Sus scrofa: one gene and its partners. The protein of the gene in region 1 interacts with the protein of each later gene in a pairwise test. Links are inferred from orthologs where the notes say so. Each region holds a gene or a part of one and is shown in the gene's direction. Other genes may lie near its edges.

Region 1 (4,099 bases):
AGCCACTACGGAAACTCTTCTGCTATATTTTAATAAAATTTATCTTTAAATGTGCAACAAGAAAATAAAGTGGCAAGATGCCCAACATTTGTGGAGTATGCAGGGATCCAAGAGGTGGGAAACTCAGCGACTGGACCGGTGTTAACTTTTTGGTTTCCCCAGAAGTTCACCTTTGGACCCAGCTTTGCTTCCGTGAGTCCCTCCAGCTTCCCTAAAGCTGGGCTAGGTGGGGGTCCAGGCGAGGCGGGCGTCAAAGTTGGTTTCTTCTCTTTTTGTTCTTTCATCAGCACTTCCAGAAGAAAAGACGAGACTCCGAGGCCTTTTACGAGCCTCATTTCGTCTCACAGTCCATACAGCGGCAATCTGCAGATTCTCCTCAGAGCCTCCTCCTCCTCACAACGCCCGTCCTCAGGCCCTGGAGCTTCTGGACAAAGCCCGGCCTCCCGGCCATCATCGCCTCCGCCTCGGGGACCTCCTCCAGAAAAGACGTCGTAGAACCACCTAGATTCTACCTACTTGGTTGGCCAATAGTTCTGTAGTGGAAAGCAAACCAGCAACAATAACAATAATAATAAAACACATTTGTACAGCTCGTGGTGCTCATTTGTATCCCGTGTTAGGACTTCGCAATTGGGCGAAGTAGGCACCTGTCGGTAGAAGTAGCAGCTGGACAGCGAAAAGGAGAGCGGGCCCATAGAAGGGAATGGCAGGTACAGTCGATTAAGCCAGGGAAACTGGTACCTGGCAGGTAGGAAATCGGCGCCAGAGGGCTTGTCAATAGCGCCGCGGATGGAAAAGGTTTTATTTTCCTCTCAAGAGGCTCCCCCCATTCCGTGCATCCCTGTGCAGCCTCGGAGGGCTCAATTCCTTTGCTGCTCTGTTCCGTACCCCCCCCCCCCCCCTTGGGAAGGTGGCTCTGTCCTCCCCGCACGCGACGCGCTGGCGGTTGGCCGGCTGCGGGAAGCTTCTGATTGGCCGAGTCGCAGAAGCACCGGGTGAAAAGAGCTTCACTGGCGGCGCGCCCCCACTCGGGGCGTAGCCAACGCCGTACGGGAAAATGGCGGCCCGCATGTACCTTGAGAGGCCCCGAATGGGGGATGGAGGGGCGCAAATCCGCCCCCTGCAGGTCAGGGAGAAAGGCGCCTCAGACTATGTGGGCGGCACTGGAGGTGCTCGAGGAGGCGGGCCTACTGTCACTTCCGGCCACTGGGGAGACTGGGATCCGTACGGCAACATGGCCGCACCCAGGAGCCTGTAGGCGGAAACTCCGCCGCTTCCGGTCCGGAGTAGGGCCTGCGGTGGGAGGGGGAAGGAAGGCGGAGGGAACCATGCGAGGTTCTGAGATCCGCGGCGAGTGTCGCCTCGAGAGACCGTTTCTGAGGTGGGGCCGGGCGGTGCGGGGGGCGAAGGCGGGGCGGGAATGTCGAGGTCGAGGTACTCGGGAGTCCTGGGCGTTGAGTCTGAGGGGCAGGCTGAGGTACCTTCCTTACTATCCCTGAAGGGGTGTGGGGGGGCCGGGGGCTGAACTGGGGGAGGGGGACTTGGCGGGAAGCTCCTCCGGGGGCAGGGCCGGCCTCAGGACTAGAGTGTGAGAGCAAGCAGGAGAGACCAGTGTGGGGCCCACGGTCGCTTACAGGTCACACGGAGAGAATGGGGAGGCTCGGGTTGGTGTGAGAGAGAGGGGACTGGAGCCGAGCTATCTCCGACTGCCGCCCCGGCTGGAGGAGACCCACCGGAGGGCGGGGTAGGGAGGTGGTCTTGGCAGGAGAAAGGGGAGTGGATGTGGGGAGGACCAACCCTCGCCTCGGAGAGGCTGGGAGTTGGGGTGATCCTACAGGACGGGGCGAACCTGTGGGAGAGCGGAAGGGGGACACGGGGAGGTGGTGCCAACGAGGGTGTGGTATCTGTTCCAGGGGGTGTCGAGGAAATCTGGAGTGCAGTGTGAGAGGTGGTCCGGGGTTGAGAAGAATCAACTTGCCACCTATGAGAAATAGTGGGGAAATGCAACCGAAAGACCGGATGTCGACGTGAGGGGTGGAGCTGGGGGTGGGACTTCAGGTTTTCCGAGGGTTTGGGGCTCTCGTAGTAAAGGGACAGAAAAACACGGTACTAATGGTTGCTGAAGACAGGCAGTGAGGACACTGTTGGGCATGGCTGGGTGTTTTTGAAAACCAAGAAGACAAAAATGTGTGAGATGAAGGGATGGGGCTCTGCTGGAGGGGCTCTTTCTGAGGCCCCGTCCCCTTCCAGCAGGAATCACGAAAACCCCACCACTTCCTCCCTCCGGGGGATTTGATCCCCCATGGCCACCGCTAACAGCATCATCGTGCTGGATGATGATGACGAAGATGAAGCAGCTGCTCAGCCAGGGCCCTCCCACCCACCCCCCAACCCAGCCTCACCCAGGGCAGCCCCCATTCCAGCCTCACCCAGGGCAGAAGCCCCTGGCTCCTCCCAGCCCCATGGGGCTGGAGGAGGCAGTAGTTCGGGCGGCAAGAAATGCTACAAGTTGGAGAATGAGAAGCTGTTTAAAGAGGTGAGCTTTAGGGGAGAGGATTCTTGTACTCCAGGGAGGGGGCTGGCCGACTGGCTCTCTTGTCTTGTCTTCCCCACTAACCCCACCTCGCCTTCTTTCTCTCAACCCATCCCTTGTCCCTTTCCCCGTGAACCTTCCAGTTCCTTGAACTGTGTAGGAGGCAGACAGCAGACCACCCTGAGGTGGTCCCGTTCCTCTCTAGCCGGCAGCAGCGGGCCCACTCACTGTTTTTGGCCTCGGCGGAGTTCCACAACATCCTCTCTCGGGTCCTTTCCCGGGCTCAGAGCCGGCCCGCCAAGCTCTATGTCTACATTAACGAGCTCTGCACTGTTCTCAAGGCCAACTCGGCCAAGAAGAAGATGAACCTGGCCCCTGCTGCCACCACCTCTAGTGAGCCCTCCGGGAATGACCCCCCCACAGGCCCCTCCTCGGACCCCATAAATGCTGAGACCACTGCCTCTGAGGCCCCAAGGACCCGTGGTTCCCGGCGGCAGATCCAGCGCTTGGAGCAGCTTCTTGCGCTCTATGTGGCAGAGATCCGGCGGCTGCAGGAAAAGGAGCTGGATCTCTCAGAACTGGACGACCCGGACTCCACTTACCTGCAGGAGGCCAGACTGAAGCGTAAGCTGATCCGCCTCTTTGGGCGGCTGTGTGAGCTCAAAGAATGCTCTTCTCTGACGGGCCGGGTCATAGAGCAGCGCATCCCCTACCGGGGCACCCGCTACCCGGAGGTGAACAGGCGCATCGAGCGGCTCATCAACAAGCCAGGGCCTGATACCTTCCCTGACTATGGAGACGTACTTCGGGCTGTCGAGAAGGCAGCTGCTCGGCACAGCCTTGGCCTCCCCCGACAGCAGCTCCAGCTCATGGCTCAGGATGCCTTCCGAGATGTGGGCATCAGGTTGCAGGAACGTCGCCACCTCGATCTCATCTACAACTTCGGCTGTCACCTCACAGACGACTACAGGCCAGGTAGGCCTTAGCAGGGTCTCCCCAGTCCCTTGGTGTGTTGGCCTATGCTGGAGGAAGCTCTCTGGAGTCCCTCCTTCTAGGATTCTGGGTGAGTGCTCTGACCTATGTCTTCCCATGCAGGTGTCGATCCTGCCCTGTCAGATCCTGTCCTAGCCCGGCGCCTGCGGGAGAACCGGAGCTTGGCTATGAGCCGACTGGATGAGGTCATCTCCAAATATGCAATGATGCAAGACAAGAGTGAGGAGGGCGAGAGACAGAAGAGAAGGGCTCGGCTCCCCCAGGCCACCTCTGCCCACTCTGCAGAACCCCCCAAAGCCTCCTTGGATTCTGGCGAGGTATGGAAGGGCCACACCCTTGAGAGAGACCCTGTCCTTCCCCTGCACTGGCCAGGAGGGAGTCCTTGGGACTGATGGCGGAGTGTGCAGAAGGGATGCAAGAACCAGTCCCTCAAGGGGGCAAGGGATTCCTTAGAGAAACTCCTTTGTCCCCCGAAGGGCCCTAGTGGGATGGCCTCCCAGGAGTGCTCGACCACTTCCAAGGCTGAGACAGATGATGAGGAAGATGAGGAAAGTGATGAGGAGGAGGAGGAGG
Region 2 (3,671 bases), on another chromosome or scaffold:
TATCATCTCACCCGTTTGCAGGGGAGAGAGACAGTTGAGAGCCGCTCTGCAGATCCTTGAAGAGCTGAACGTGATGTTTGTATGGAGGCTGCAGCTTTTGTTCTGTAATTAAACAACAGCAACCCCGCACTGAAAGAACATAGCTGTTCTGGGTGGGGTTTAAGGCCAAAGGTACAGGGATGTTTCAATCTGATAAGCTGCTCAAGCAGAGTTTAATCATTTTATCTCAGCTGGGAACTGTTTTTCTGTGCAGGCATAAACTTGTTTTCCCAGCAGTCTCTGTTCCCAACCAGCTATCAAATACCCGAGGAAAAACCCAAACCAAGCCTCTGTCTTTATGTCGGAGTCTTACAGTGAAATGTAATCAGACCACTTGAGATAATGGTCAGAGGCCACCACCAGTTTCCAGGGTCCTCCGAGGACCTGCAGGCTCCGCTTAGTTCAGTGGAGAGACTGCCTCTGCTTGGTTCCCTTCATCTACGTTCCCTTCTCCTTCTTTGGGAAGTTGGCACCTGGACAGGAGTTTGGTTATATGGCTCTGCTCTCTCTGTGCATGAGTAGAGTCACCTTACCACTGTTACGTGTCTTATCTGGGCCTGAACTTGAAAAAACCATAAAACAAAACCCAGACATCTGTTGGAAGAAACGGAGGCTCCAAAATCTACCTGCCTCAAAAAGATTGTCCTGAATTTCTGAAAAGCTCTGGAACCCATCCGTTTGGATTATTGGTAGCTGATTTTGGTCCCTCCCAAGATGTCTTCAAGCCTTGAATGCCGGTGGCACGCGTGTGCATCGAGCATGAGGGCAGATGTCTTTCCAGCCCCTAGAGCTTACTCAGGCTTGTGCTTTCCAAGCTCTTAAATCCCATTTTGCAGCTACTAAAATAATAAACTCAGCCACGTCCTTTAGTGAACTCATCTCCAGACAAGGCCTCAGTCAGGGGAGACTCAGAGAGGAAGCAGCTCCGTTCGTGAACATGCAGATTTTTTAGAAGAGGAACTGACATCCCTGGGGTCCTTGTGTCCCAGGTCCTTTTAGGCCGGGCATTTTACCTGCACGCTGACCTCTTTGTCTTGTTCCTCCCTTGCCTGTTGCAGAGGATGTGAAGCCATATCAAGTTAATGGAGTCAACCCCACCTACCCGGAGTCCCGCTATACCTCGGATTACTTCATTAGTAAGTTCACCTGCCACTCGTCTTCCCTCTTCCTGCTCTGTGGGATGGGAACTTAGGAAAGGATCCCTGTCCTGAGTCATCTCAGGCACCTTCACTCCCGTGATGCCGCAGAAAATAAGACTTTCTTAAGTGCAGTGATGTGGTGATTTGTTGCATCATTCCCGAGAAGCGCAAGGCTTCGGCCTGTTGGCACGATTCATGAACCTGCAGGCGCCTGCGCACCAGGGTCTAGCCCGTATCTTCAGCGTGAAAGTCATGCAGAGAGACTAGGACTTGCCTCCAAGCTGTGATCCTGTTTGATCCTGTGCCCTGTGGTGGCCATTGGAGGTTGGAGTCAGGAATTTTGTCTTGGACCTTGTTCTTTATCCTTTTTACTAGGAGATGTGACAGCATCTCCTCTGAGATTCCCTTGTCTAGAGGATGCCCTACGGCCTCAGGTTCTGTTCCAGAATGTGAAGAAGCTTCCTCCTCTTGGTCCCTGACCCCTTGCTATGCTGCAGGGGTGGCTGGAGGAGGAAGAAATTTAGTGGAGGGCCGTGCTTGCCTAATGGCCTTGCTTTCAGAGAGCATCTTAAGCAGGTTTGTTTTCTTTTCTTTCTTTCTTTTTTTTTTTTTTTTTCTATCTTTTTAAGGGCCGCACCCACGGCATATATAGGTTCCCAGGCTAGGGGTTGAATCAGAGCTGTAGCTGCTGGCTACGCCACAGCCACAGCAACACCAGATCCTTAACTCACTGAGCAAGGCCAGGGATCGAACCTGCATTCTCAGGGATACTAGTCAGATTCGTTTCTGCCGAGCCACGCCAGGAACTCCTGTTTTCCTTCTTTTTTACTTTATTATGATCTGTATTCTAACGACAATCTTGAGCTTATTGTGTGTCAGAAACATTGGTAGCCTTTTTACATGGATGCTCTCATTGGCGCTTCATCGCAAGGCTTGAGGAAGAGTGCAACCATCCCTACTTTAGAGATGAAAAAATGAAGTCAGAAGAGGGAAGCGTCTCCTAAGGGCCATGGCTCTTAAGGAGTGGAGCAAGGTTAACAGCCCAGACCCTTTGACTTAAAATCCTAAGGTAGTCAGCTCGTCTCTCACTGTGGGGCCACTCTAAACGGGGAGGAACTGCCTGGTTTGGGGGCTCATCTCTCTTCTCTAATTGCACATGCTCCGTTCCCAGGCTATGGTATTGAGCATGCCCAGTGCGTCCCTCCTTCGGAGTTCTCCGAGCCCAGCTTCATCACCGAGTCCTACCAGACCCTCCATCCCATCAGCTCGGAGGAGCTCCTGTCCCTCAAGTATGAGAACGACTACCCCCCGGTCATCCTCCGGGACCCTCTGCAGACGGACCCCTTGCAGACCGACTACTTTGCCATCAAACAAGAAGTTGTGACCCCCGACAACATGTGCATGGGGAGGACCAGTCGTGGTAGGTCGGACTTGTGCTCTAGAAGTTTCTAACAGTGACCTAACTACATTTGTTTTTCCAGTCCCCATATTTCCCTCCCCTCACTCTCAGCCCTGGGCAGGCCTGAGTTTTTTAGCCTTTCTGTCGTAGATCGTCTAGATATGCAGCACTTGGTATCATGGAATCGTAGGCATGCATGTCTTCCATGATGACAAAGACTGTGGGCGGGTCTATGGTGGGATTGACATCCAGCAGGATGACCAATCACATTTCTTATTTGGGTCAAACATGTCAGCAAATAATAACTTGAGTTGAAGGTGGCTGTTTTTTAAGGTGTGTTCTATTTTCTTGGAGAGGGTTTTGCTTAAGGAGGACACAATCACGGAAAAATGATTCAGGGGATGGACCCTCCTAGAGAGCCTTTATTGCCTCCTTGTCCTGGGTCCCGAATATTCCTGGGTCAGACTGCTCATCTTGGCTTGGTATCTGAATGACCCGTGCTTCTCAGCTTGGGCTCTCTAGCCTCCTGTGACTTCTTTGGTTTGGGGAGATGTGAGATGGTTAACCAACGGCTTATTTGGAACCCGTCATCAGCAGTGTGGTGAAAAGTGTGTGTTTAGCTAAGGACCAGGGAAAGAGGTGGCCAGAGGCTTCCAAAAGAGGGCACTTCTGTTGACATGACTGTTTTGATGACGATAAAATATTCACTGAGAGTGAAGTAAAGGTTTCAAAATTGAGCTGGCTGGCTGACTTTATAAAAGCAAAAAAAAGTTCAGCACACTCAGGTTTTAAGATCAGGACATAAACACTCAGAGGCCCAGCCCACCTGGTGAAGTGTCAGCATTGTTTGTTTCTGAGAAAAGTCCAGCCCATTGCAAGGAGGGACTTGTTCATCCAGGAAGAACCAGCTGATTTCTAAAAAGCTGAAAAAAGATGACTGTGCTAATGGGTAAGTGGGAGAGAATTACAAACAGGAAGAGCAACAGGAGAAAACCCGATCCAGTGGACTTGGGCCACCACAGTGGGCCTGGCCAGCCTCCTGGTGATTTCTGCTCACCAGTGACCCTGTCCCCTCTTCCGGGGCCCAGAGGCCT
Region 3 (3,332 bases), on another chromosome or scaffold:
GGTCACGGCGCTGAGCAGAGGGAGCAGGGCCCTGCAGCCGGGCAGCCCCAGCGCTCATGGCAGGTCCCTGCCTGCCCTGGGCCTCAGTTTCCTCATCTGTTACCTGAGGGTGACAGTAGCCCCCTCACAGGGGCGTTGGCAGGCTTCATGGGTCAACAGGTGTTAACGCACCGAGAATGTCACCCATTGTGCAGCCTGTGCTGGAGAAGGGCCCGCTGGTGAGTGCCTGGTGCTGGGCTGCCCAGCTGCTGGCACCGGCCAGGCTGTAGGAGGGACACCCCCGCTTGGTACTGGTGTTTGGTTGGCTTCCCACCACAGTCCTCTTAGGTTGGCATCATCCCCGTTTTACAGAAGAGAAGAGGGAGGCTCGGGGGGATGGCCAGGAGGCTTCTAAGTGGCAGGCCTGGGATTTGAGCCCAGAGCTGCCTGTATTCAGGGTGCCGTGGCTTTTCCTTGAGAAAGGCAGGTAGTTGATATTCTGGGCTCTGGGCCTTTACGCCGCTGTGGCTCACAAACCACATAGGTGAGGGGCCGGCAGGCAGGTGGAAGCAGCCCCCCGCCACGCACTGCAGCTCTGGGCTTTGAGCTGCTTTGCTTTGTGGTGTTGGCTTCAAGTTGAAAAGATGACTGGCAGGTGCCCTTGCTGGTGCACTGCAGGTGTTGTTCTTCCCCGCGGCCACTAGGGGGAGGCGGGCGGCAAGTAGACCCCGCTCTTGCGGGTTGAACCTCCCGGGCACCGGGGAAGTGTTCACAGTCTTTAACCAGTTGAAGCCGTCTTTCTAAGATCTTACCCACAGAGAGGTGGTAAGTGGACGTTCAGAGTCGTGCCTCCCGCCGCCTGGTCTGGGCTGCCCGCTCAGCTCGGGGAGGCCCAGCCCAGCTGGTTTTCTAGTTCAGCATTTCAGATGATCTTGGCCTGGTTTAACCATCAGTAAATGCGGTTAGATTGTGAAAACCTTCTGTCCTCTGACCAGGGTCCTCTTGCTTTCTATGAGAGCGTAGCTGGGAGGTGTTCCTGTGCTGTAGTCAGTTACCGTGGTGGGGAATGTGCTTCCCGGGAGGCCGGAGTCCTAAGTTGCACACTGTGAATCCACCCTGGAAGGACCGAGCATCAGCACGCGGTTTCTGAAGGTCACTAGTGCCGCAGACGTGTCCTGCTTGGGAGATAGCTTTTCTGTGAGCTCTTCCTTAGACTGTGGGAGCAGGAAGAGCAACAAGATAAAGCCGTGTCCTCAGATGGGGGGTGCGCTGCACTGGGTGGGGCGGGGGAGGTGGTCAGGGGTGGCGTGTGCGCTGCGTGCCTGCCTCTGCCTGCAGGGCCGGGATGTGGCAGGATGTCGCAGGGGACCCTTGCGGGCTTTTGACCCCCGCCCTGCCTCTGTCCTTCGTGTCCCACATCACTGAGTGACCCTGGGACAGAGGGCTGGCAGCCACCCTCAATGCCTGCCCATGTTGAGACCTTGCTGTTGGTGGCCACCGCCCCATCCAGGTCACCCTTCGCCCCTCGGGACGCGGGTTCTTTTCCGTTTCCCTCTGGCCCAGTCTGTGCCCAGGCCAGGCCCAAGGGCTGCGTGTCGTGCCGAGGGGTGAGGGTCCTCTCCAGGTGCTGCAGGAGGTTAGTGAAGGTGTCTCATGGGGACAGAACTGGATCTGCCCTGCTGTGCACTTGGGAAGGGGTGCCTTTTTTGGTGCTGCTGAGCTGGGGGAGGGGGGCGGAGAGCAGCCAGAAGGGGGCGCTGGACACTGAGGGGATATGGAGGGGCATTCCTTCCTGGTGCCTGGGGGGCCTCCTTGGTGCCACTAACACTCTAGGCCAGACAGGGGAGGTGAAGGCTCCGCGTCTTAGAGACTAGACAGTGAGCAGGAGGGACTCGTTTACAGAGGGAGGACCCCGATGACCCGGGGTTCACACACACCTTGTCTGGGGCTCGGTGCTGATGCTGAAACCCAGAGAGCCAGCTGGGCGGAGGGAGCAGCGCTGGTGCTCTTCCTGGGCGGGAGGGAGCCTATGTGCTGGTAACGGGGCTCCAGGTGGGAGAGGGAGCCCTGGGGACGGGGGTGGGGGGTGACCTGTCTTCAGGCAGAGAAGGGGGTTCAGAGGTTGCCTCTCCCTGCCCATGCTGTAGTTCAGGTGCCTCGCGCTCAAATTTATGAGCACATCCAGGTGGCGCGTTTGGGGGTGGCACCTTCTCTGCCCTTCACCCGGATCTGACGCCTGCACTTGTCACAGAAGGAAAACGTGTGTGATGGGCATTCCCAGACCTCCCCTCACTCAAGGGCCGGCGTAGCGGCATCGGGCTCGTGTGTGTGTGCGCGCGCGCGCGCACGTGTCATTTCAGTGGTTGTCGGTGTCCCCCACTCTTAAGCGGGCACAGCTGCTCTGATGCTGTCCTGTGTGCCCTGACGAGCTTGGAGTGCCTGAGTCATCTGGGATCGGCTGGCCAGGGCCTTGCCGTGGGGGCTCCGCTCGTCTGTCAGTTTCCGAGGGACAGTAGCACGCTGGGGCGGCGGAAACGGCTCCGTGGGGTGCGCGGCTGTGCCAGTAGCCCGTGAGGACGTGACCCTGTCTTGTCTTTGTTTCGAAGGTCATTACAGCTACTCAGAGAATCGCGTGGAAAAGGACGGTCTGATCCTCACCAGCCGGGGGCCCGGAACCAGCTTCGAGTTTGCTCTGGCCATTGTTGAGGCCCTGGCCGGCAAGGAGGTGGCCGACCAAGTGAAGGCCCCGCTTGTTCTGAGAGACTAGAGCCGAGCGGGCTGCCCGGAACCCCTCCCGCCGAGGGCGCTTTAAACCCAGAGGGTGGCTCTGTGCCTGCCCCCCAGGCGAGCTTGTGACCTGACAGCTGCAGATGCTCTCCCCACAGTCGTGTCCCCACATTTCAGACCCTGCTTCCCGAATAAATAGGGCATTTAGCAAACTACTGGCTGCTCCTGCTTTTACCTCCAGTTTCCATGTTCTTGTGTGAAACTAAATCATCAGTTTCATGTGCAGCTCTTATCTGTTGATAACAGCCCCTGAAATAAGTGACCCGCAAGCACGGAGGAAAAGCATAAAGCAAACATTTAAGAGGCTTGAGGCCTCCCCCCATCCGTTACCTGTCTCTCTAATGTGCTATTAAAACCCCAGCAAAGCTGGCGGTTACGGTGAATTCCGGCGCACTGATGCTGCTTTCCCACTGCGGCAGAAGTCCCCGGAGGCAATGAAAACCCTGCAGGGTTGGTCTGGCCTGCTCCCCCGCTCGCGCCACCGCACCCGCTTGCTTACCCTGCGAGCCCACAGGCTTCCCAGCCCCAGAGCCCCACATAACTGACTCCGTGGCCCAGGTGAGACA
Region 4 (3,671 bases), on another chromosome or scaffold:
TTAGTCTGTTTTCCTGACCTCAGCCTTCCGCCTTTGCAGTACAACAAGGAATTAACCAAAGAGCGAGACACCCTCAAGCTGGAATTATACAAGAACAAGTAGGATGGGGAGGACGGGGCGGGGTGGGGGGCCTTGGCTGGTGTGGGGCTGCCAAGTTGGGGGGGCATCCCAGTGAGCGGGGTGAGGAGGCGGGAGAGGTTTCGACGAGAGCAGAACTAGGCTCTCATGCCAGCTGTGCCGCCAACTCATGCTGCGGCCTCAGGCAACTCGTGTCCTGTCTCTGGCCTGCCGCTTGTGACTCCTGATCCCGGGGTCCCTTCCAAAGCGACTGTCCTGTGGTCCTGTGCCGAGGGTGGTGGGTTGATCACCAGAGCGGTCCTTTGCTTTTCACTCACGCCTCCCTCCCCTGCCTCCGAGCGCAGCAAAAGCAATGAGGACCTAAAGCAGCAGAAGTCGGAGCTGGAGGAGAAGCTGCGGCTCATGGCGACAGAGAAGGCAGCCATGCAGCTGGGGATGGAGGAACTTCAGAAGAAGCTGGAGATGTCGGAGCTGCTGCTGCAGCAGGTGGAGCTGGAGCCCCAGGGAGGGTGCCCCTCTGCCCCCCGCAGCAGGCCAGGGTCTCAGGGATACCTAGGGTGGCCTTGGCCAGGAACTAGAAGACTTGGATCCTTGTTCTGGTCCTGCCATGGAATCCTCCAGAGGTGGGAGAAAAATTAAGGCCTTGCCCAGACCTCCGGAATCATAATCTCAGGGATGGGTTTGCTTTTTTGTTTTTTGTTTTTTGTTTTTTGTCTTTTAGGGCTGAACTGTGGCATATGGAGGTTTCCAGGGTACGGGTCTAATCGGAGCTGTTGCCACCGGCCTACATCAGAGCCATAGCAACACAAGATCCGAGCCGTCTGCGACCTATACCACAGCTCACGGCAATGCCAGATCTTTCACCCGCTGAGCGAGGCCGGGGATTGAACCCGCAACCTCATGGTTCCTAGCCGGATTCATTTCAGCTGTGCCACGACAGGAACTCCGGGGTGGGGTTTTTGTTGTTATTGTTATTGTTTTTCGGCCAAGCCCGTGGCATGTGGAAGTTCCCAGGCCAGGGATCAAACCCGCATCACAGCAATGACGGATCCTTAACCAGCTTCGCCACATGGAACTCCTGTGTTTATTTTTTAAAACACCCTGGTCGAAAACCGTTGTTTTGTGAATGGTGGTTATAAGGCCAACTCGTGAGTCTGTTTCCTCCCTCTTGGGGTCAAAAGCCACCAGGTAGACAGGGTGCCTGAAGTCAGAGAACCTCCCCTTCAGTTTTTCTGCCCACCCGGCAACTGTCTGCCTTCATGCCGTCAGTAAGGGTGAGCTGGGGGTGTGCCGTGTGCACACAGTGACCGCGATGGAACCACGCCAGCAACCCAGTGCGTCTTCACTTTGCAGCAAAGTGAAGTGAAGTTGCAGAACCATGTTCGATACCACTCAACGACAGCACAACTGCAGTGTGCATTAATTAAACGTGTTTGCATGTGTGTGGGAAGGGTCTAGAAGAATACACACGGACTGGGGTGACTGGGGAGCTAGAGGAAGGGTTGGGAGGACCTCGAACACTTATATTTGAATCGTTGCGCATGAACATTTAGTGAAGATAAAGCCTTTGCCTGTGGTACAGATAACATGAGGACAACCCTGAGTTGTACGCCGACCTTTCGGGGCGGGGGGCTTTGCCTGGAGCAGCCTGGGCCCCCCGGGTCTCACCGCCTCCTTTTTCACCAGTTTTCTACTCAGCCTACCCCTGACAGCAGCCAGCAGTTGCAGCAGGCCCTGGAGGAGCGGGCACAGCTGGAGACCTGTGTGGGGCAGGTGAGGCTCTGCAGGGGGAGGCATCCGGAGGGAGGCTGACGGTGAGGGACCAGGAACAGGGGAGGCCCAGTGACAGCCCCTGCTCACTTCTGCACGCACTCTTGCAGCTGCAGGACTCGCTGAGGCAGCTGCAGGCAGAGAGAGACCAGTATGTGGCGAATCTGAAAGAAGACAGCACTGTTTGGCAGCATAAGATGCAGCAGATGAATGAGCAGGTGAGTCGTGACCTACGGCCCCCACCCCCCTTCGGTCCCTTGATCTTCCTGTCGCTTGCCACGCGCAGCTGGAGGTGGAAGTATGTGTTTGGAGGTGAAGAGGGCGCGGGTCACCAGGTCACTCCTTCACCCTCTCCCCTTCCTTCCATGTGGCCTCCCCCCTGTGCTTGGGCAGCTGAACAAGCTGAGGGCAGAAAAAGAGCACAGCATGAGTCAGGTGCAGGAGCTGGAGACCAGCTTGGCCGAACTGAGGAACCAGGCAGGTGAGCGGGGGCCGGGGGCGTCAGGGAGCAGGGTGGGCTCAGGGCCGGCCAAGGTGGCTCAGAATGGAGGCGTGTGGCAGGAAGGGCACTGGGGTCAAGGGAAAGGGGTCCGTACCAGGAGGTGGCAGTCCCTGAGCCTCCGTGTTCCCATCTGTACGAAAGGGGTCGAGAGCCCACTGTCACTCACCCCGAAGTTGTCTTTTTTTTTTTTTTTTTTTTTTTTGGCCACCCCTTGCGGCACATGGAGTTCCTGGGCCAGGGATCAGATCCACAGGCGCTGGATCCTAACCCACTGTGCCGGGCCAGGTGTTGAACCTGCATCCCAGTACTCCCAAGATGCCGCCGATCCCTTTGTGCCACAGCGGGAGCTCCCGAGGTTGTCTTGAGTATAAAGATGTAAAGAACTCTGTCTGAAAGTGTCTCGAGGAGTTTCCCAGTGGCACAGCAGGCTAAGGATCTGGCGTTGTCACTGCTGTGGCGTGGGTTCAGTCACTGGCCTGAGAACTTCCCGCATGTCACAGGTGTGGCTGAAAAGCAGCAACAAAAAAAGAGTCTTGAAAGATTGAACGAGGAAGCCAAGGTTTGGTGGTGAAGAAGCTGAGTTAGCAGCTGTGGACCAAGAAGAGGATTTTTTGGAGATGGCAGAGCCTAGAGGCCCTGACAGCAGGCTCCCTTTCTTATTTGTGCCCCCACCCCAAGCGCCCCCATCAGGGCCCTCGGAGACTGAACAGCGGCTGCAGGCAGAGGCTGAGCAGTTACAGAAGGAAGTGGAGAGCCTGGCCAGGCAGCTACAGGCGCAGGTGAAAGACAATGAAAACCTGAGCCTCCTGAATCAGGAGCAGGAGCAGCGGCTGATGGAGCTGGAGCGGGCGGCCGAGTGCTGGGGGGAGCAGGCGGAGGAGCGCAAGCAGATGCTGGAGAGCATGCAGAGCGACCGCACCACCATCAGCCGCGCGCTCACGCAGAACCGCAAACTCAAGGAGCAGCTGGCTGAGCTGCAGAACGGATTCGTCAGGCTGGTGAGCAGCCCTCCCCAGCCCGCCGGTCCCCCTCCCTGGCCAGGTCCTTTGGGGCGGGGGCGAGACCTTTCATCCTTCTGGGTCTTTGTTTCCCCACCTGTGAAATGGGTGGTATGGCCCTTGAGTGAAATGGGGCCCACGAAGGCCACCTGTGAGCCAGAGGGCCCTGCGCAGAGGGGGCTGGGGAGGGGCAGGGCTTACCCGCCTGCTGCCGCTGGTCCCTGAGCCGGGCTCCAGCTTAGTTGATTGCTCCTCTCTGTGCAGTCCAACGAGAACATGGAGATTACCAGCGCGCTGCATTCGGAGCAGCATGTCAAGAAGGA
Region 5 (4,164 bases), on another chromosome or scaffold:
TTCCTTGAACTCCTATCCCAGACTGGGTAAGGCACCCTTGGTATTCACCCATCATCCTTCTTAATTTCTTGTCTGCAGCCCTAGCCCCATTAAAATTTTTTTTCCTTAAGTAACATATGTACATTTGAAATGAATAAAGACCCAAGAGAAATCGCTGTAATTCCACCAGCAACTTGTTTTCCTATTTTAGTAAAGTTCCTTTAATTTTTTGTTGTAAAGCTTTTAGAAGTACAGCTTACAGTTGGACATTTGTGAATATCCTGAAAAGGGTCTTGGGTAGGTCCCCTACCCACGTGTTGAAGGGCCTGATTAAGAATCGTGGACCCTGGGGGCAGCAGATTGGGTCTGCCTAGCTCCAGTTCTGCCACCCACGAATTCGCACCCACTCAGTGCCAGGGACACTGCTGCAAGCCACACACAGTGCCCCAGCCACTCCACGTTCTCTGGCATCTGTCCTTCATGTTCCGCGCCTTCAGCTTCTCTCCAAGGACAACCCAGGGGGTGGCTCCCTGTAGAACCGCCTGAGCCTGAAGCTCCTGGGGCTTGATCGGCCATTTCAAAATGGCCTCACAGCATCCTTTTCAGATTCAAGCAGCTTCTTTCCTCCTTTTCTAACCCCCTTGGTCTCTGAGTTGTAAGCTACCGGCCGATTTTCTCAGAACCCTGGTGGCTCACGACTCCCTCGGGAAGGCAGTCTTTCGGGGAAACACGACCCGCCCAGCCTTTGTTGTAGCAACTGCACGAGGAGCCACGTACACTTTCGGCCAAAGCCGGACCGGGCCACCAGAGCTGGAGGAGGCCCGACCCCACCTGCTTTGGGCCCCTTCCTAGGTTTTGAGGAATTGAAAGAGGGCCCTTTCCCCGCCCGACCTCTGCCTCACTCCGGGCCCACGTTCACTCTCCGGGTTCCCTATTTGCATTACCAGGCACCTCGGAGTGTGGCAACTGCAGCTCTACCGCTCTGATTTTTAACATGACCTTGGCCATAAGTCTCGGGGTGCCCGCTTGGGCTCTTGCAAGAGCCTCGACGCCCCAGGGAAGGTTTCCCGTCGGTTGCAAAACCCAGGCTGTCAGAGCCCCGAGAGTCATAGAGTCACAGCCCCGAGCTGGACTTCCTGCCCTTGCTCAGGTCGTCTCTCTCATCCCACGAAACGCACCTCAAGGCGTCTGCGCGGGACGGGGTTCCAAGACTCCCAGGCTTCGCCACCCCACCCCTTCCCTCCCCTCCCCCACCATCCCAGTGCGCCTCCCCCCACCCCCGCCCGCACCCACCGGAAGGGGCGGGGCTCCGCGCGGCGGGCAGGCGGCGTGATTGGCCGCGGCGGGGCGGACGGCCGATGCCGATATAAGAGCCGGGCCAGCGCTACCTGCGCCACAGTCTTCGCGGAGAGTCGCTGCGGTTTCCTGCTTCAACAGTGCTTGGACGGAACCCGGCGCTCGTCACCCGCCCCGGCCGGCCGCTCAGAGCCAGCCCTCGCCACCTCTTCACAGCGCCCTCGGACCGCCCCAAGGCCACCGCCACCGCTCCCGCGCCGCTGCCGCCACCACCGCTCCTCAGCCTCCCGCCATGACGACCTCGTGCTCCTCGCAGGTGCGCCAGAACTACCACCAGGACTCGGAGGCGGCCATCAACCGCCAGATCAACCTGGAGCTCTATGCCTCCTACGTCTACCTGTCCATGGTAAGCGCAGGCTTGGCCGGCGGGGGGCGGGCTCGGCCTCGGAGGCGGCGGGGCGGGGTGTGGCTAGCGGGCGGGGCCTCCCGCCTCCCGCCTCTGCGCGGTTCTGGAAAATGGAGGCTGCTCCGGGTCCCCCAGGACTTCGCAGAAATTCCGAGGAGTCGGCCCTTTCCGACTGACCCCTGGGAGTGCCCCTTTGTAGGCCGACTGCCTCTGCCCGCCCACCCCCCTCCCCCCTCCCCCTTTTTTTTCCTTGCCGCGCTTGCTGCCAGTACCATCCTGCAGTTAGGAAGGTGGATTTTCGCATTTCCATTCCGTCCTCTGCATCCGATCACGTGATCCTGGGCGGAGGCGAAGAGGTCCTGCTCCCATCCCCCAGAATACGGCGGAGCCTGCTGGGTAATGGTGTCGAATAGCAGCCCTGGGGGCTGGTGTGAAGTGCTTTATCTCCAGTGGGCTGACCACCCGAACAGCCGTCTCCACCCGTTTGCTCTGCTTATCGCCAAGTCCCACTTGAATTGAAGCACATCTCTAGAAATCTCTCCTTCCGCCACAGTTGTCTTAGTCACCCGTCCTTGCGCCTGACTACCTCCTCCTTTATTCTTTTTGTCTAAAGGTTGGGGCCTAATCGAACCCTTCGTTCTTGGATAAAGTCCATCCACAGTTACAGGGCCGGCATTTTTTCCATAGAGGGGTCAGTTTTCCAAATTCCTGGTTTTAGGCGGTGTGGTAGGAGTTGTAGAATTGTCTGACCATTACGTAAACCATCCAAGAATAGGCAGGTACCAGATGGGTTTGGAACTGGCCTGGATTTCTATGACTGCCCTTCCATTTCAGGAACACCCAGCAAGGGTCTAAAAGAACCCAGTTTTGCTTTCTACTGTTATGCCTTTATATACATTGTTGCCCACAGCCGTCTACTTCCCTAGTGGGGTACTTTTAGAAATGCATCGGTCTGGCTGTAAGCTGGCAAGTTCATGTTTTAACATGGATTAATCAAGGAGGGAGAAGGAGGAAGCACTAATAGTGCGGAGTAAATACTCCACTTTCCTCTCTTCGACCAGATGTGACACTGGCTGTAAGAATTTAACTTTGGAGTTCCTGCTGTGGCGCGATGGGGTTGGCGGTGTGTCTGGAGCGTTGGGACTTAGGTTCCATCCCTGGCCTGGCACAGTGGTTTTAGGGATCCAGCACTGCCACAACTCTCATGAGGGTCACAGCTGTGGCTCCCATCTGATCTCTGGCCCGGGAACTTCCTCAGACCAGAGGCGGCCAAAAAAGAAAAAAGAACTTTGCTCTAACACAGATCCTGAGGATGTTCCATGGTGGTGGCAAGTCCTGTGATATTCTAAATGCTCCTTGTGAACATTTTTCATTTTTGCCCTTAGGAGTGAGAACTAATGACTGTTTAGTTCGATGCAGCAACGCAGCCTGCTCTGATCTCCTTAGACCCAGACCCCTTCTTGCTGGGCTTTGAGAAAGGAAGCCTAGGCTCACAGACTCCTGTTTTCACTTTTCAGTCATACTATTTTGACCGCGATGATGTGGCTTTGAAGAACTTTGCCAAATACTTTCTTCATCAATCTCATGAGGAGAGGGAACATGCTGAGAAACTGATGAAGCTGCAGAACCAACGAGGTGGCCGAATCTTCCTTCAGGATATCAAGGTGAACAAAAGATTCCAGGGTTGTCGTGCCTGATGTGTCTGGCGCTCCTCAGGTGGCAGAAGGCACAGACCTGAGCAGTTGCTCTTATCAAGACGCAGATACGTTGGGCTTGTGGCTTGTGGCTTTTGTGCTGTTGTGGGCCTATCGTCTAAAGTGGGCAGATGGTAACGGGCAAGGATAGTAAAATAGAAACTGTTGTCGGGGAAGCTTGGATATTCCTTTCGCCAAGCACAGTGCTTACACGTTAGGTGCTTGCTGACTTGGGTTTAAAGGTAGAGGCTGCAGGTGCATTGACTTGGCTCCTTCTCGTTCAGAAACCGGAGCGCGATGACTGGGAGAATGGGCTGACTGCCATGGAATGTGCGCTGCACTTGGAAAAAAACGTGAATCAGTCCCTGCTGGAACTGCACAAACTGGCCACTGACAAAAATGACCCCCACGTGAGTATTGAGGCAACCTGGGAGGAGGAGGAGGAAGTCATTTACCTCGGGGCCTGGGAAGGCTCGCCAGTAACTCTCTTCCCCGTTGTCTTTTCCAGTTGTGTGACTTCATTGAGACGCATTACCTGGATGAGCAGGTGAAAGCCATCAAAGAATTGGGTGACCACATTACCAACTTGCACAGGATGGGGGCCCCCGAGTATGGCATGGCCGAGTATCTCTTTGACAAGCACACCCTGGGGAGCAGTGAGAGCTAAGCCCTAAGCTGGCCTCCCGGAGACACGGGGTGACCCCCCTGGTCACCAAAGCAGTGCATGCATGTTTCGGGTTACCGTCACCTTTTCTATAAGTCCTACCAGAACATCTACTTCAGTTCTTT
Region 6 (4,433 bases), on another chromosome or scaffold:
ATTTGCTTTCTTTTGGAAAGCTGAAGTACAGATGGCCAGCTGAAAAGCGGGTGAGATTTTTTTTTTTATAGGGTTGGGTGAAATAATTTAGTACATCATGGACCCTAGACCAACACTGTTCCTCACAGACAATTTGCTGATTTCTTTTGATTTCTTTTTTTCTGGTTCTTTTTGTCTCTTTCATATGGTAGATTCCTGTCCACTTCTCATTGGATATTTGCAAGAAAATCAGTGTTCTTGCTCCATTTTCCAGGAATACTGCGTTTTGGGACCCAGGCCTTTTCCCCTTTAACATAATTTTCTTTCCCATTTGTAGTGAATCAATCTACTTCCCCAAGAGAGCCTAAAAATCAACAAATACCTGCCTCAAACCTCAGGTTTTCCATCTCCTCCCTGAGGCCTTCAAGCATCAGCTGGGTTAGCAATTTCCTGCCAGAGCCATCTACATCTTGATTATTTGGTCAGTCTTTCGGGAATTTCATTTCAGACCCCCTTCCAGAAAGACTCCAGCACCACTGATCCCAGAGGTTGGTGAACTTTCAGTTTTATTTTCCCTGGTGATGTTAACGCCCAAACTTTTCACTTCCAAAGCCAGAAAGGACTTTGAATCCTAACTCATTTCCTACCACCTCCAACTCAGTTAAAACAAACAAACAAACAAAAAGCCACAACACTACATTGAAATGAATCATGCATTTTTCCTTAAGGATATTTTTAATGCCCCTGACAAACACCACAGTGTTGGAATTTTTTTTTTTTTTTTGGATAAAAAGTCATTTTGGCATATTTAGTCTAGTGAGACAAGATTTAATGAAATGATTCACTATTAATAAACAAAAAGGGGAGGGAAGACCTCGTGGGTTAATAGTTTCTTTCACTGCAGATGACCAGGAACTTTGCCCAGCCCTCCACTTCCCCAGGCTCTCTGAAAGTGGAGGGTTGATCTCTCTTTTTCGACCACTTCTGTTACATCCCGCCCGAGGGTGGCTGATTTCACTGCTGGCTAAACCACCAAGCACCCCACCCTCCCACCCATTCCCCACAACACTCTCCTCCTTTTCCCCTTCCTTAAGACTTATTTCTAATGTTTCCAAAGTGCACTTTTTCTGGGCCTCTCCCCATCCCCGCCCCCCAAGTGGGCTTTCCTTCCGCCTTTCCCGGCTCGGATTCCTGACTCGGTCGCCACCCTCTTCCCCTCCTCTCCTACCCCGCATTGTCTTTCTGAAGCCGGCCCCCTCCCGGAGCGAGTCCCCGTTCCCTCGCCCAGACTCCCGGGCTCGCACACTCTCAGCGCAGGCCTCTCCCCCTGCACACTCCTCCCTCTGTCTCTCTGCCCCTCTCCTCCCCCGCCCCTCTCCTCCTCCTCCTCTCCCTCCTCCCTCTCCCGGCGCCCGAAAGGATCATTGTTAGCCGCCCCCGCCCCGCCCACTCCGGCTGTTTATTTATGCAGACGTCACCCGGCCGGCCCCGCCCCTCGGCATCTCATTAAGCGAGTGTGTTCCTCTCGCCCTGTCAATAATCTCCGCTCCCAGACTACTCCGTTCCTCCGGATTTCGATCCCCCTTTTTCTATCTGTCAATCAGCGCCGCCTTTGAACTGAAAAGCTCTCAGTCTAACTTCAACTCACTCAAATCCGAGCGGCACGAGCTCCTCCTGTATCTTCGGCTTCCCCCCCCTTTGCTCTTTATATCTGACTTCTTGTTGTTGTTGGTGGTGTTTTTTTTTTTACCCCCCTTTTTTTATTTATTATTTTTTTGCACATTGATCGGATCCTTGGGAACGAGAGAAAAAAGAAACCCAAACTCACGCGTGCAGAAGATCTCCCCCCCCTTCCCCTCCCCTCCTCCCTCTTTCCCCTCCCCAGGAGAAAAAGACCCCAAAGCAGAAAAAAAGTTCACCTTGGACTCGTCTTTTTCTTGCAATATTTTTTTTGGGGGGGTAAAACTTTTTGGGTTTTTTTTTTTTTTTTGGCTTTTCTTCCTCCTTCATTTTTCTTCCAAAATTGCTGCTGGTGGGTGAAAAAAATGCCGCAGCTGAACGGCGGTGGAGGAGATGACCTAGGCGCCAACGACGAACTGATTTCCTTCAAAGACGAGGGCGAGCAGGAGGAGAAGAGCTCCGAAAACTCCTCGGCAGAGAGGGATTTAGCTGATGTCAAATCGTCTCTAGTCAATGAATCAGAAACGAATCAAAACAGCTCCTCCGATTCCGAGGTAGGAAAAGCCCCTCGGGCTGGTGGGGTTCTGAATCTATTTCCTGGGCTTGGCAAAGGTTGCTTACAGGGGAGAAATCGGGGCTGGGGGCGGCGGTAGGGCGCCGCGGGGCCGGGCGGGCGGCGTGTGCGTGTGGTGCCACCATTGCAAAAAGTTGTAACCCTGTTTTTCTCTCCCCCCAAACCCCCACCCCACTGATTCTTTTTCTCCCCCTTCTCCCCCCTCTGCGTGCCGTTTGCCCCTCGCCCTCCCCACCTCCACCCCTCCGGGAAGGCGGAAAGACGGCCTCCGCCTCGCTCCGAAAGTTTCCGAGATAAATCCCGGGAAAGTTTGGAAGAAGGTGAGTACGTCCCGCGCGCCCCGCAGCCGCCGGGAGCTGCCCCCCGGGCCCGCCGCCCCGCGTGCCCCGGCCGGGCCGGGGCGCCCGGCCACTTGGGGCACTTTCTAAAAAGTTTCTCCTCGCTCTCTCCCGGTCCGCGCGGCCGCCGCCGTCCCCTCGCCGTCCCGCCATGTTAGCGGCCAAGAGGCAAGATGGAGGGCTCTTTAAGGGGCCACCGTATCCCGGCTACCCCTTCATCATGATCCCCGACCTGACGAGCCCCTACCTCCCCAACGGATCGCTCTCGCCCACCGCCCGAACCGTAAGTGCCTCCGCGCCCGGCCCCCGCCCGCTGCCTGCCCGCCCTCGCCGCCCGCCTGGCCCCGCATGCGGCCCCTGCCCTGCCCCCTCCCTCCCCCTCCCCTCCCTCCCCCTCCCCGCCTCCTCCCCTCCCCGCCTCCCCTCCCCCGCTCGTGGCCCTGGCAGCCCGAAACTCTCCAAACTTTTCTGCCTTTTGTGGACTGGATTTGTTTGCACTTCGCCATGTTCTTGCTTTCAGTTTGTTGCTTCGTGGTGTTGGGGAGACTTTTCTTTCCAAGCAGGGCTTTATTGGGGGGGAGGTAAATCAGAAGAACTTTTTTTTGAGCTCTGATTCCCCCGCCCCCTTTGGTGGTGGTGTTTGTTTCTTCACCCTGGGAAGATGACTGTGTGGCTCTTTCTTTTCTCCCTCTCTCTCCCTTCCTTCCCTCTTCTGTGGCGTCTTGGGCTTTCCCCGGTTAACCCCTTGGCTGCCGCTGCTGGGGACCGAGTGGCTGGGCTGCGCTGAGTGAGGGTGGCTTGTCCTCCAGGCATTGGACTGTTGAACTAGCGGGCGCGCGGAGCCCGGGGCCCTGGAGAAGCGCCTCGGCTTTCTCTTTCGGCTGGTTATTTGTTTAGCTTTCTGGTGGCGTTGGCTGGCTCTCAGCCCTCCTCCCCTTTTCCCCTGGAAGGTCTCGCTTCCCAGACTGGTCCCACTACAGAGTTGAGGGCTCTGGGCTTCCTTTTCTGGGGCAACCCCGCAGGGCCGCGAGCGCCCTGGGCGTCGTGGCGGGCTCGGCTGCCCGGCGCGCTGGCTGCGGGCTCTCCCGGGCCGCGCGAGGTGGAGAGGCCCCTGTGGCCGCGGTTCTTGGTTTGTTGGCAGCCGGGATGGCCTCTTCCGAGCGGACTTGATGTATTTCGGTGTCTTGGGGTTTATAGCGGGGTCTGCGCTCGCCAGCTTCCGAGAAGGCCCTCAGGGGGCCCTGGGGGGCCAGAGACCAGGGTGTGCGGGGCCCAAGGGTGTACAGAGGGTGAGGGAGGCCGAGGGCGCCAGTCGCTCAAGGGAGTGGGCTGCTGATCGAGGGCCACCCAACTTTGGGGGCCCCAGGGCGGCGCAGGGAGCCAGGCTCCGGGGGGTGCTTCCCGCAGCTTGCGTCCCTCGCGCACCCCTGACATTTGTTAATAAGGCTCACCCCCTCCCCCGACCGGCCTCTGCCCCCTGCCCTCGCCCTGAACCCCCTCCCTCCTATCCCATTCGCCTCTAGAAAGCCTGGCTTATGAATCTCTAGACACAATCTCTAAACGTTTGTGCCCCGGCTTCTCGGATTTGTCATTTTTGTACGTTCTCTGGGTTGGTCTCCTTCCCTCTTCTATTTACACACATTTCTTTTTTCTTTTCTTTTTTTTTTTTTTTTTCTTTTTCGGTAACTCGAGATAGCAGTTTGAAATAGTGCACTCACTGTTCAGCAGCTGTGGATTCGGTGCTTAATGGCCGAGAGTTGGCCGGACGGGAGTCGATCAGATAGATCTACAAGTGTTTTTAAGCATTAAAATATTAACTATCAGGTTTGACTTGTTTTTTTGGGGCCCTGGCAAAAATGGCA
Region 7 (4,090 bases), on another chromosome or scaffold:
AAGAGGGACAGGGCAAGGCCTCGACAAATGGTGCTGGGAACACTGGACACCCACGTGCCAGAGAAACAAGACCGATCCTCATCTCACATGCCACACACACACACTAACTCCCAATGAATTAAAGACCTAACCACGGGACGGGAAGCGGTCAAGCCCTGAAAGAAACGAAGGGCTACAGCGTGACCTTGGAATGTGCCGTGATTCCCTGAATGGGACACCAAGAGCACAGACAACAAAAGCTAGCACAGGCCTTCCTGCCCTGGCTCAGCGGAAATGAATCCAGCTGATACCCACGAGGATGCGGGTTCGATGCCTGGTCTTGCTCAGTGGGTTAGGGATCCCGTGTTGCCGTGAGCTGTGGTGTAGGTGGCAGACGCAGCTCCAATCCCCTTTGCTGTAGCTGTGGTGCAGGCGGGCAGCTGTGGCTCAGGTTCCACTCCTAGCCTGGGAACTTTCAAATGCCACACGTGTGGCCCCAAAGAGGAAAAAGAAAAAAAAATAGGCAAACGGGACTATGTCAAAGTTAAAACCTGTGAAGCAAAGGAAACAACCAATATAGTAGAAGATGCAACTAACAAAATGAGAGAATGTATTTGCAAATCATACACCTGGTAAGACCTTAACCTCCCGAAAACGCAGAGAACGCCTAAATCTCGATAAGGACAAAAGCCGATTCAAACGTGGGCAAAGTGGTTGACGAGACATTTCTCCAGGGACATAAAAATGACCCACAAACACCTGACTCGGATCCACACCCCTGACCATCAGTGAGACAGCATCGGACCGGTTCCGGGAGCGAGCGGCCCAGGGTGGGTCAGGCCCAGGGACCCCTCCCCTGACCGCGCCCCCGCCCCCGGCCCCGCCCCCGCCCCGAACAGCCCCCCCACCAACCCGCTCGGCGCCCGCGCGGGCTGCCGGCTCCGCGCCCCCCGCAACTCCGCCGGCGGGGCGGGGCCGGGCCTGGGAGCGGGGCCGCGCGCGCGCACGCCGGCCGCGCGGGGCGGGGCGACAGGCGCGCACGTCGGCCGCGCGGGGCGGGGCCGGGCCGTGACGCGCGGGCGGCGCGGTGGTGCGGGTGCGGGCGAGCTGGAGGCTCAGGCCGGCGGGCGGGGCGGCCCGAGGGAGCCGCGCCCGCCGCCCCCGGCAGGCCGCCACCGCGCGCCCCCGGCCGCCGCGGCCCCATGCTGCTGCCCCTGGCCTGCCTGCACGGCCGGGTGGCGCAGTGCCTCACCGCGCTCCTGGTGCTCGCAGAGCCGCCACCCAGGCCCCGCCGCGTCGCGAGGGTGCACGGCGCGCGGCCCCCGCGCGCGGAGGCCGCCCTGCCCGCGAAGATGGCCGCGGAGCTCTACGCGCCCGCCGGCGCCGCGGCCGCCACCGCCACCGCCACGGACATCGCCAACAGCAACGCCGCCGCCGCCGCCGCCGCGGGCAGGAAGGGCCGGCCCAGCGCCCCCCTGCCCGCCCCGCCTCCGCCTGCGCCCGAGCCGCCCGCGCCGGACAACAACAACTTGGAGAGCCCGAACTGGCAGTCCTTCCATCCGACCCTGCGCGAGAGGTGAGGCCGCGCCCGCCCCGCCCCGGCCCTGCCCGCGCCCCCGCCCCGCGCCGCGCCCCCAGCCCCGAGCCGTGTGCCTCTGCCCTTTGCAGGAACGCGCTGATGTTCAACAACGAGCTCATGGCCGACGTGCACTTCGTCGTGGGGCCCCCGGGCGCGGCCCGCAGGGTGCCTGCCCACAAGGTTGGTAGAGGCTCGGCCCTTTGAGCTCCCAGAGGCGGCCGGTCCTCTAGCCCGGGCGTGGCAGCCGCCGGGGGCGCGCAGGGCCCCGGGCTCAGGGCGCGCTCTCTCGTCCACAGTACGTGCTGGCCGTGGGGAGCTCTGTCTTCTATGCCATGTTTTACGGGGACCTGGCCGAAGTCAAGTCCGAGATCCACATCCCTGACGTGGAGCCCGCGGCCTTTCTGATCCTGCTGAAGTAAGCCGGCTCAGCTAGAGGGGGAGGCCTGAGGTCCACGAGGCCGGGGGCGGGCGGGGGGGCGGGGGGCTCCTCTCCCAGACCCGGTTGCCGGGCGGCGTGTCCCTCGCAGCCTGTGACCTGGCGCCGCCTCCTGCCTAGGTACATGTACAGTGACGAGATCGACCTGGAAGCCGACACGGTGCTGGCCACTCTCTACGCCGCCAAGAAGTACATTGTCCCCGCGCTAGCCAAGGCCTGTGTCAACTTTCTGGAGACGAGCCTGGAAGCCAAAAACGCCTGCGTCCTGCTGTCCCAGAGCCGGCTGTTCGAGGAGCCCGAGCTGACCCAGCGCTGCTGGGAGGTCATCGACGCGCAGGCCGAGATGGCGCTCAGGTCGGAGGGCTTCTGCGAAATCGACTGGCAAACGCTGGAGATCATCGTGATGCGGGAGGCGCTCAACGCCAAGGAGGCCGTGGTCTTCGAGGCGGTGCTGAGCTGGGCCGAGGCCGAGTGCAAGAGGCAGGGCCTGCCCGCCACCCCCCGCAACAAGAGGCACGTCCTGGGGCCGGCGCTGTACCTGGTGCGGATCCCGACCATGACCCTGGAGGAGTTCGCCAACGGCGCCGCCCAGTCGGACATCCTGACGCTGGAGGAGACCCACAACATCTTCCTGTGGTACACGGCGGCCAACAAGCCCCTCCTCGAGTTCCCCCTGACCAAGAGGAAAGGCCTGGCCCCCCAGAGGTGCCACCGCTTCCAGTCCTCCGCCTACCGCAGCAACCAGTGGCGCTACCGGGGGCGCTGCGACAGCATCCAGTTTGCCGTGGACAGGAGGGTGTTCATCGCGGGGCTGGGCCTGTACGGCTCCAGCTCGGGGAAGGCCGAGTACAGCGTGAAGATCGAGCTCAAGCGCCTGGGGGTGGTCCTGGCGCAGAACCTGACCAAGTTCGTCTCCGACGGCTCCAGCAGCACCTTCCCCGTCTGGTTCGAGCACCCCGTGCAGGTGGAGCAGGACACCTTCTACACGGCCAGCGCCGTCCTGGACGGCAGCGAGCTCAGCTACTTCGGGCAGGAGGGCATGACGGAGGTGCAGTGCGGGAAGGTGGCCTTCCAGTTCCAGTGCTCCTCGGACAGCACCAACGGCACGGGGGTGCAGGGCGGGCAGATCCCCGAGCTCATCTTCTACGCCTGAGGCGCCGCGCCGCTTGCGGCCGCCTCGCCGATGCCTGACGGCCCCGCGCCCCGGCCTCTCGGGAGCGGCTGTGGCCGAAGGCGTGACACAGACCCGCTCCTACACGGCCGGAGCCTGGGTCTCTGGATTCTGGCCACTGGGCCCGCTGGCATCTCCTGTACGCTGGGGTGCACGTCTCAGGTGGAGGGCAGGTTTGGGGGGCACGAGGCAGGCCCAGTTCCCTCCCAGTGGCGCCTGTTTTGAGGGCTCTGCCACCCCTCCCAGCCTCTTGGATTCTCCTCTAGGTGGTTCTAGGCTTCTGATCCTCTCTTCAAATCCAAAATGGAAACATCACTTAAAGTACGTCAGCTATTTAAGTGGATTTTCATAATAAAGTTTTAACAAAACGAGAGGCACACGCAGCTAACGACCGTGAGTCTCGAAGCGGGGCGCCCGCCGTCTCCCAGGACTGACATGCACAGAGGACACCTCGGCCCTGACGGCGCTTAGCGGGGAGTCCCCAGAGGCCCACCTGTTCGCGAACGCCTGCGAACGCGTCCTAAACTATCACTAGCCACTTGAAGTCCTCCTGTGGGGGTGGGGGTGGGGGTGGGGGTTCTCTGCCAGGGGGGCCCCAGCCCCTGGGAACAAACCCAGCTCGGGCTCACTGGCTCCTGCGTGGGCGTGCTGCCCGTCCTTCACTGCAAACGCCTCAGCAGTGGCTGTTTTGGGGGAGCCTCAGCGTGTGCCCCAGAGGGAGGCCCTGTGGCCCTCAGCGCGGGGCTGTAGCCCCTCGGGAGCAGACCACCCCAGCCAGTGTCTCCCTGCCGCTCTCCTGCTGGCTGTGTCTTCTCGCATCACCCAGTGCCGTGGGTGTTCTGGGACTGCACCCGGGCCCCACGTCCTGCCTCCTTGACGTGCAGAGACAGGCTTCTAGACAACAGGCGGGGGAGGGAGCAGCCCC

What was found.
Region 2: the proteins of DAXX (region 1) and ETS1 interact in binary tests that used the Homo sapiens proteins (3 or more experiments, as listed by UniProt). The link is inferred for Sus scrofa from reciprocal best matches to the Homo sapiens genes DAXX and ETS1.
Region 3: the proteins of DAXX (region 1) and PARK7 interact in binary tests that used the Homo sapiens proteins (3 or more experiments, as listed by UniProt). The link is inferred for Sus scrofa from reciprocal best matches to the Homo sapiens genes DAXX and PARK7.
Region 4: the proteins of DAXX (region 1) and GOLGA2 interact in binary tests that used the Homo sapiens proteins (3 or more experiments, as listed by UniProt). The two-hybrid records come from large-scale screens. The link is inferred for Sus scrofa from reciprocal best matches to the Homo sapiens genes DAXX and GOLGA2.
Region 5: the proteins of DAXX (region 1) and FTH1 interact in binary tests that used the Homo sapiens proteins (3 or more experiments, as listed by UniProt). The link is inferred for Sus scrofa from reciprocal best matches to the Homo sapiens genes DAXX and FTH1.
Region 6: the proteins of DAXX (region 1) and TCF7L2 interact in binary tests that used the Homo sapiens proteins (3 or more experiments, as listed by UniProt). The link is inferred for Sus scrofa from reciprocal best matches to the Homo sapiens genes DAXX and TCF7L2.
Region 7: the proteins of DAXX (region 1) and BTBD6 interact in a two-hybrid assay, tested with the Homo sapiens proteins (2 studies listed by BioGRID and IntAct). The link is inferred for Sus scrofa from reciprocal best matches to the Homo sapiens genes DAXX and BTBD6.

What each region holds. Positions count from the first base shown.
Region 1 is NC_010449.5:29,678,295-29,682,393, reverse strand, and holds the start of DAXX (death domain-associated protein 6), read left to right. Parts: upstream 1-1,248; 5' UTR 1,249-1,381; intron 1,382-1,452; exon of another isoform or gene 1,453-1,477; intron 1,478-1,913; exon of another isoform or gene 1,914-2,250; 5' UTR 2,251-2,302; coding exon 2,303-2,536; intron 2,537-2,676; coding exon 2,677-3,508; intron 3,509-3,628; coding exon 3,629-3,843; intron 3,844-4,002; coding exon 4,003-4,099. UniProt on the Homo sapiens protein: Transcription corepressor known to repress transcriptional potential of several sumoylated transcription factors. Down-regulates basal and activated transcription.
Region 2 is NC_010451.4:55,404,093-55,407,763, reverse strand, and holds part of ETS1 (protein C-ets-1), read left to right. Parts: intron 1-1,097; coding exon 1,098-1,175; intron 1,176-2,349; coding exon 2,350-2,598; intron 2,599-3,671. UniProt on the Homo sapiens protein: Transcription factor. Directly controls the expression of cytokine and chemokine genes in a wide variety of different cellular contexts. May control the differentiation, survival and proliferation of lymphoid cells.
Region 3 is NC_010448.4:68,642,372-68,645,703, forward strand, and holds the end of PARK7 (protein deglycase DJ-1), read left to right. Parts: intron 1-2,585; coding exon 2,586-2,746; 3' UTR 2,747-2,776; downstream 2,777-3,332. UniProt on the Homo sapiens protein: Multifunctional protein with controversial molecular function which plays an important role in cell protection against oxidative stress and cell death acting as oxidative stress sensor and redox-sensitive chaperone and protease.
Region 4 is NC_010443.5:268,706,553-268,710,223, reverse strand, and holds part of GOLGA2 (golgin subfamily A member 2), read left to right. Parts: intron 1-39; coding exon 40-98; intron 99-422; coding exon 423-564; intron 565-1,764; coding exon 1,765-1,851; intron 1,852-1,958; coding exon 1,959-2,066; intron 2,067-2,241; coding exon 2,242-2,329; intron 2,330-3,028; coding exon 3,029-3,348; intron 3,349-3,612; coding exon 3,613-3,671. UniProt on the Homo sapiens protein: Peripheral membrane component of the cis-Golgi stack that acts as a membrane skeleton that maintains the structure of the Golgi apparatus, and as a vesicle thether that facilitates vesicle fusion to the Golgi membrane.
Region 5 is NC_010444.4:9,533,774-9,537,937, forward strand, and holds the start of FTH1 (ferritin heavy chain), read left to right. Parts: upstream 1-1,277; 5' UTR 1,278-1,567; coding exon 1,568-1,681; intron 1,682-3,198; coding exon 3,199-3,345; intron 3,346-3,659; coding exon 3,660-3,785; intron 3,786-3,883; coding exon 3,884-4,042; 3' UTR 4,043-4,164. UniProt on the Homo sapiens protein: Stores iron in a soluble, non-toxic, readily available form. Important for iron homeostasis. Has ferroxidase activity. Iron is taken up in the ferrous form and deposited as ferric hydroxides after oxidation. Also plays a role in delivery of iron to cells.
Region 6 is NC_010456.5:123,342,228-123,346,660, forward strand, and holds the start of TCF7L2 (transcription factor 7-like 2), read left to right. Parts: upstream 1-1,468; 5' UTR 1,469-2,024; coding exon 2,025-2,213; intron 2,214-2,486; coding exon 2,487-2,553; intron 2,554-2,729; coding exon 2,730-2,854; intron 2,855-4,433. UniProt on the Homo sapiens protein: Participates in the Wnt signaling pathway and modulates MYC expression by binding to its promoter in a sequence-specific manner. Acts as a repressor in the absence of CTNNB1, and as activator in its presence.
Region 7 is NW_018084979.1:3,330,348-3,334,437, forward strand, and holds BTBD6 (BTB/POZ domain-containing protein 6), read left to right. Parts: upstream 1-1,404; 5' UTR 1,405-1,555; exon of another isoform or gene 1,556-1,566; intron 1,567-1,854; 5' UTR 1,855-1,890; coding exon 1,891-1,973; intron 1,974-2,114; coding exon 2,115-3,147; 3' UTR 3,148-3,542; downstream 3,543-4,090. UniProt on the Homo sapiens protein: Adapter protein for the cul3 E3 ubiquitin-protein ligase complex. Involved in late neuronal development and muscle formation.